Schizosaccharomyces pombe: one gene and its partner. The protein of the gene in region 1 interacts with the protein of each later gene in a pairwise test. Each region holds a gene or a part of one and is shown in the gene's direction. Other genes may lie near its edges. The genes, in order: meu43 and SPOM_SPBC21B10.08C.

What was found.
Region 2: the proteins of meu43 (region 1) and SPOM_SPBC21B10.08C interact in a two-hybrid assay, tested with the Schizosaccharomyces pombe proteins (one large-scale study listed by BioGRID).

The regions. Positions count from the first base shown.
Region 1 is NC_003424.3:2,328,797-2,332,957, forward strand, and holds meu43 (protein meu43), read left to right. Parts: upstream 1-2,013; 5' UTR 2,014-2,358; coding exon 2,359-3,168; 3' UTR 3,169-3,323; downstream 3,324-4,161. Other genes in the region: citrate synthase Cit1, read left to right, coding at 1-1,300; flippase Neo1, read right to left, coding at 3,324-3,460, 3,510-3,589, 3,641-3,767, 3,809-4,161.
Region 2 is NC_003423.3:1,653,904-1,657,495, forward strand, and holds SPOM_SPBC21B10.08C (uncharacterized protein), read left to right. Parts: upstream 1-2,001; 5' UTR 2,002-2,042; coding exon 2,043-2,111; exon of another isoform or gene 2,112-2,346; coding exon 2,347-2,874; 3' UTR 2,875-3,025; downstream 3,026-3,592. Other genes in the region: SPOM_SPBC21B10.09 (acetyl-CoA transporter), read right to left, coding at 1-90, 198-372; glycosyl hydrolase family Crr1, read right to left, coding at 3,283-3,592.

The DNA.
Region 1 (4,161 bases):
CTTAAAGGATCGGTTAGCTGAGCTTATTCCTGAAAAACAAGCAGAAATCAAAAAATTTCGCGCAGAACATGGCCAAGATGTCATTGGTGAGGTAACTATCAATCAAATGTATGGTGGTGCTCGTGGGGTTCGTTCTTTAATATGGGAAGGCTCTGTTTTAGACCCTAACGAGGGTATCCGATTCCGTGGTTATACTATCCCGGAATGCCAAAAATTACTTCCTTCTTCTCCCAACGGAAAACAGCCTCTTCCTGAATCTTTGTTCTGGCTTTTAGTTACCGGGGAAATTCCTACTCTGAGTCAAGTGCAGGCGCTTTCCGCTGACTGGGCCGCCCGTTCTCAGTTACCCAAATTTGTTGAAGAACTCATTGACCGTTGCCCTCCTACCCTTCATCCAATGGCCCAATTCTCTCTCGCTGTTACTGCACTTGAGCACGATTCTGCATTTGCTAAAGCATATGAGCGTGGAATGAACAAGCATGATTATTGGAAGTATGAATATGAAGACTGCATGGATTTGATTGCCAAGACCGTTCCAATTGCCGGTCGTATCTACCGCAATTTGTACCGTGATGGTGTTGTTGCTCCTATTCAAATGGATAAGGACCATTCGTACAATTTTGCTAATGTTCTGGGCTTTGCTAACAATGAGGAATTTGTGGAGCTTATGCGTCTTTATTTGACCATCCATGCTGACCACGAAGGTGGTAATGTATCTGCTCACACCGGTCATTTGGTAGGTTCTGCTCTTTCTTCACCCTTTTTGTCGATGGCTGCCTCCTTAAATGGACTTGCTGGTCCCCTTCATGGTCTTGCCAACCAAGAAGTTTTGAACTTTTTGATTACAATGAAGAAAGAAATCGGTGATGATTTATCTGAAGAAACAATCAAGTCTTATCTCTGGAAGCTTTTGAATTCTGGTCGTGTTGTTCCTGGTTATGGTCATGCCGTACTTCGTAAGACAGATCCTCGCTATACGGCTCAGCGTGAATTTGCACTTGAGCATCTTCCTAAAGATCCCATGTTTCAACTTGTAAGCCGTCTGTATGAAATAGTTCCAGGTGTTCTTACAGAGCATGGAAAAACCAAAAATCCATATCCCAACGTTGACTCACATTCTGGTGTTCTTTTGCAATATTATGGCTTGAAAGAACAAAGCTTCTACACCGTTTTGTTCGGTGTTTCTCGAACACTCGGTGTTGCCTCTCAACTCATCTGGGATCGAGCTTTGGGACTACCTATTGAGCGTCCTAAGTCTTTCTCTACTGAAGCATTAAAGAAGATGGTTGAAACGAAATGATTATCTTATTTCTTACAATGAAAATTATGTCGGCGCTTTTTTTTTCATTCATTATTTGTATAAATGTTTTATTTCCTACTTAGTTTTTACTGTGTTGGTGTTGTCAATTCCCGTTGCATTTAAAAATTGAATATCCGCAAATATATCAGCAAACACAATAATATTAATAATAAATTTCAAAATTGGTATAGCAAACAATGAATTTACTTAACTCTGTTGTATTCATGGCTTTAAAAAGTCTAACGTATAAGTTTTCAGTAAGCAAATTGTTATTTCAAAAGGCCTTCTCATCATCTGGTAACTTTCTATATATTTTAGCTAAATTATTTAATTTGGTATGAATGTAAAACACGCATAGTCAGACGAAAGCAATCCAATTAGGCTTTCGTCCCGGCTTAATTGGTGTCTAATATCTTTTTCTGCATATACACAGCGTACCAAAAGTCACTGTTAGCACTCCTTTTAGTTGCACGTGGATTCACAAGACCAAAGAACTTTGATTCACCGAGACTCAAATTCCAAAGCCTCCAATCGTGCTATGTATGTGGCATAGAAAAAGATAAAATTTCTAAATGGAAGAGATATATATATGAATAAAAATTCCTGAACTACCGTATTTCACTAGTTTTCATTAGGCTGGTTTAAGATAGTTTTCTAATTGCTTCGCAATTTGTTTCAATTTTACGAATTGCTGTATTAAGCAGAATATAATTAGTAAAAAATATGATTTGGAGTAATTTGTATTAAGACTTATTAGCTACCATAAGATATCGTCTTGAAATTCATTGATAGATTTGGTGTAGCTGCTTCATAAAAAAAGACGGAGATTGGATCTTAAAATCTGTAATTTCAGGCCATTTCTTTGATCTAACTTATAACTGCTAACTAGTTGAATGTTTATTGGTGGGGAGTAGCTTTGAGATGTTGCTACTGTTTGGCGTACCGCCAAACACCTGCCAATCTTTTACAATTAACGCGACTCCTCTATACATCAATACAAACATTGAAGCAACATATAACCATCACACGGCGTTTGTATTACCATCGTAAAAGAAAAAATGAATAACATTACACGTGACATCTATACCAAAGGACAACCTGCTGATCTGAAACGTCTGCTGATGAAGCGTAACTCTTTTAGAAGGCCATTGTTAAACATGCGATGTAATTCTGTCTTACAATATTCGTTGGAAAAAAGAAAACTTACCGTTCAAGATTTAAAAGACACGAGAATGGAATTAAATAACATGATTCGCATCTTGACTGAAGCCATGGCAGCCCACGAATGGACTGTCGATAATGTAAACATAGCTGACATACAGTCTCTTCAATCAACTATCCATTCGACCCTTAAAAATTTTCAAAAAATCAATGTCCTTCAATTAAATATAAACGCATCTGATAATTCCTTGGCTTATCTTTCAAAACCTGAAGAATCTTATAATTTCTTAACAATTTACTTCTCAACCTTGTTGAGTTATGAGAAAGTAGAAAATCTCATTAAGAAAAGTTTAACGGTAATTGATTCTTTGTATGGACTTTTAAACTATCAGATAAATGCTCAACATTCATTGGGTTGTATTCCTCTGAATCAAGATTCTTTTAAACAGCTTAAACTATTAATTTGCATTCTGGAAGAAGACATTAAATTAGATGACTGTGGACTCGAAATTTCGGCGTCTAAGAATGAATATCTCGAAAAAATAAAAACCCACTATAAAACTTGGCTGCGCATCCATACATTTTTAACCTTATTTCCAGTTCCGTCAGTTCTATCTTCGAATTTAAAGAAACAAATGTACGGCTGGTTTGAAGACTTACGAGACGAAAGCTTGAAGTCAATAATACTAGCCAGCTTGAGTGAATAATGAGGTAGGAGTTACTAGGAAGAGCAATTTTATTTGCAAGAACTTCTATTACAACAGGGCAAACCACGAGAGGTCTTTACCACACCATTAAGTTTTATAATGATCGATTAAAAGCTAATCAAACGCGCGTATCAAAAGAAAGTAATATTTCCAAATTAACGTTGCAGCTTTGCATAACTCGATGGTTTAAGCTTCCTTTTAAGAGCTTTGCCGCACCAGACGGGTAAAAGACTGATAAATAGTATAAGCGCACTCACCCAATAAAACTTCAATCCAAGGAGGAATTTGAGTTCTATATGTATTAGCTTCTCTAAAATTCTTCGTAAATATATTAAACATACCAAAATAATTAGTTAAAAATGGCACGCTAAGGATATACATCATCAAAGTTAACAACTCAGACATTACAATTGTTTGTTCCCTAACGTCGTTAGTATATATACCTACACACAAGTGAGAAAGGTAAACTTACCATGTGTTAATCTGTAAAGCAACCATAATAAGCTCGTTGAAGATCAAACAAGAAAAGCAAACAGCCAACATTTTCCCTTCTTCCTCAAATCCAATGAGGTAGAATGTAAACAGTTGGATAATTAATCCTATGTTTGTAAGTATGGTAATGAAATAAAATTTAACATACCTTGATATACGCTAATGAGAACGCAAGATATAAAATTTTTGTAAGAAAAACATTTTTGCTCCCTCATTTCCTTATACAGTTCTGGGAATAAGAAGACCAGCTTCTCACTTACATCCCTATCGTACACAATCGAAAAAACGGGAAGCATTGTGTACATTGTAGAGTATCCAACCAAAAGCAAACCTTGAAATAAAGCGATCGGTTCAAATGCAGAAATTACACTATAGACAACTTGGCAAACAGAAATCAAAAGACCACGATGAATAACAAACATAGCTAATTTCGATGTTTGTTTATAACTAATTCGACCATGCCATAGTAGAAGACGCGAGACATGACTAAATTCTTTGACG
Region 2 (3,592 bases), on another chromosome or scaffold:
ATGTGGCAAGATCTGAGTAGCTAACGTTTGGCTTCAAGAAATACGGGATGCTTCCTCTAACTAATCCCATAGGAACACCCTGAATAAGATCTTGAATTGTTAATATAATAAATGCACACACATGTGAGTAAATAAATCAACTATCCATACAATAACAATTAAGGAATGATGGTTGAAAAAAATTAGAATTGACTTACACAGTAGTATCAGAAAATAGATGTTTCTTTTTTGCTTAGCCGTCAGAGGCGTACTACCCACGTTAGCTTCTAAAGTATCATTTTCAATTGATGCGATGGAAGCAGGAGCATTTTCTAAATCTTCAAGCTCTATATCTTGTCGAGTAATACTTCGATGGTGAGCCTTAAAGACCATGGAAAAGAAATTCGAGCTTTTAATAAGTTGAACGTAATGATAATTACGCGTAAATTCGAATTCTACTGTAATTAAGAAAACAAATGCAAATCCTTTTATGTCAGAAAACTAAATTCCAAAATTTCATCCCCTGTAATTTATGTCTAAGGTTTTCCAAGAAAAATCGATGCCTCAATACGAAGATTTAATCGCAGTGGTGTTGTTGCCAAACATACCAGCCTACATTCTTCAACGAACGATTGACAAATTACACTAGCAGGATAGCGTATGCGAGTTCACTAGTTTATTTCGTTGATAACGACAGCAGTAACATATTACGTTAACCTCGTTATATAATAGCGTTCTATTTATTCATTCGCTATACAAAATAGATTCTAAGTATTGTTATTATTATTAAAATACTTATTAAGCAAACCTACTGAAGTCATGCTTCATGTTTAGACATGAGCTATTTTCAGTGACAAATAAAAGTATTACCTTCATACGAATATACTTGATACCTGTTTACCGCTTTAAATAGATCACGATTTAAAATCCCATTTCGTTTAGCGTACCATCAAAACAATAATACCAACTGCATGGCTAACGGATAATATGCTATCTTACAATACGATTTTCTTGTAGAATGGTTGCTTTTTTCAATGATAAAATATATGAATAAATTTGTAGAAAAAACCTTAGCATTGTAAATAAATGGTGTTAGTTACTATTTGTTTTCTATAATATGTCTCTTCAAAGTATCTGTTTAAATGGTTAGCGTAAAAAAGCACTTCACTTCCAAAAAAAAAGATGATTATAAAAATACGGTTAGTTGGGCACTTTGAAAATCTGTTAAAGTTGGATTTTCGTTCGCATTTCCCTATTTTACTACTCAAGATAACCTTAATATAATGATCAGCATATATTAAATTGCATATGTTTTATTGTAAACGCTTGAAAAAAGAACAGACTATTTTTTATGATTAACTATACATTTTTTTAATTATCCTCAAATTAACGGCTTTGTAAACATGTTTCAAAAAACTACTAATTATAATTTCGCTAGTGTCAAATATTTCACAAGTCGCGGAGTAAGCGAAGGGAGTAGTAGCATAGCGATTGTGTTTAACAAAAGTAATGTCTTTGAACAGTACACTTTTTGGATGCATTAATTTACAAACTATTTGGATAAATTTGAAACCAGTGGTCTTAGACTTATGATATTGCTGATGAAAGCTCTCAAATTTACGAACGGTTGACTGACCGAAACTAGTTGCTGTACTATGTAGACTTTGTTCATATAAAAATTATGGAACTTCGTAGAATACGTAGACTTGTCAAGGTCGACAGGTCAATTCTCAAATTTTTATATGACCAATTACAACTATATTATATAATAATTCTATTGATCGTCAAGAAGTGTTTGTTCGACACGTTGGAGAACAGTAGCATAATCAAGGTTATTTTTGCATTCCTATCGTAATCTATCCGTAATTATGGAACCTTTTGCTTAAAATTATGAATACTTTAATACCTAGTTTGGTTGGTTTGACATCAAGTCCGCGATTTACCCGATCGCATTCTTTCATTTTCTATGCAACCCGTCACGTGACTGACTACAAATATACTACTTCATACGAATTAACTGCCCAAAAGCATTTGACAATAAGTTATATAGTTGTTAAAGAATTATGAGTTTCCCTGCTAGTACTCACGTCTACATTGCCAAAATTATCGGTAAGAAGGGTGAAGGTGATAAGGTGAGTTAAAAATTGAATGCAAAAGCATTATCAAGGTGTTTATAGAATAAGCGTGGTGAATTGAGAAATGTCTATCTCAACTGCATTGTAAAGTTGGAAATAAATGAGATGCCACGACATGTCAGTTTAAATCTTCTGTGCTGTAATAGAAATCTACTCTCATTACTGTAATTGTTGTTTGCTTTTGTTCAGGAATTTATCCTTTTCTTGAATCCTTTACTAACTATATGTACAGATCCTTGACCTTTTGAGTAAAGTTAATGAGCATGTATTGAAATCAGAACCCTTCACTAAAACCTATTATTTCGCTCGTGATGCTAAAAACCCTGATTATATCTTTGGTCTTGAGCTGTATGATTCAAAGGAGGTATTAGAGAATTCTCACAAAACCTCAAATCCCTTCCTTGCTTTTGCCAATTATTTGACCTCTACTCATGCTCCTTTGGCAGAGCCTTTGCAACTATTGAATTTTAAGGTTGTTGATGGTCATTTAGATAAGGACAACTTAGGCCCAGATGCCAAGGACTATGTTTTGTATACCGAATATACTGGCGATTCTGCTACTCTTAAGCAACAGCTCACCGTTAATCCTAAAGCTGACACAAGTTTGATTATTCATTCCTTGGATGATCCTAGCCTATATGCTGTCGTTACCAGATACTCCAAGAGTGGTATTGAGCCTGGTCCTGCTGAAATTTCTGGTGCTACTTCTGTTTCTCAGCAAGTGATTTATTCTGGCGTTGGTTTCTTAAACCGCCCTTAGATGTATTTTGCAACAGAAATGAACAAACGTTTTTACAACATATACGAATCCCAAACCTTTTGATATTTCTGAAGAGTACCTTATATGAATATTCCTAAACCCTATATTATTAATCAATTAGCGTAGTGAATTTATTGAAATTTTAAGACCGAAATTTACTTTGTAAACGATGGCATTAGAACACAAGTTATTAAAAAATTCAAGCTCGCATAATTTCAGACAAAACTTAGGCTTATTACTATTTTACGCATTTTGCTAAACACATGCGAAAAAATGTTTCTCTACTTCAAGTTCTAATCAAAATGTATTTTATTTACACACAATATATCGAGATGATATCACGCATGCAATGTTAATGTTATGCCTATATAATCAAGAAAATTCATCAAAAAGAAAAAAGAAGGGGGTTTAGTATTGATAAACGGCCAAGCTTTTGATATTCCAGTATGCTTCAGTAAAATTATGAGGATTATTACCAACAAAGTCGTTGCACGAACCGGGGCATCCTGCTGATGAATAAACTGAAGAACCTGCCCAATCACCACAAAATGTCAAATCAAATAATATTTTTTGCTTTGAAAACATTTTGTCGATATCGCATTTGGTATCTGGAAAGTCAGCTACGGGTTCACTCCATTTAGCAGGTTGGGGAGAACCAGAAGTAATGTCAGATGGAATTTCAGAACGATTAAAAAACCACGATCGAATACCTTCACTA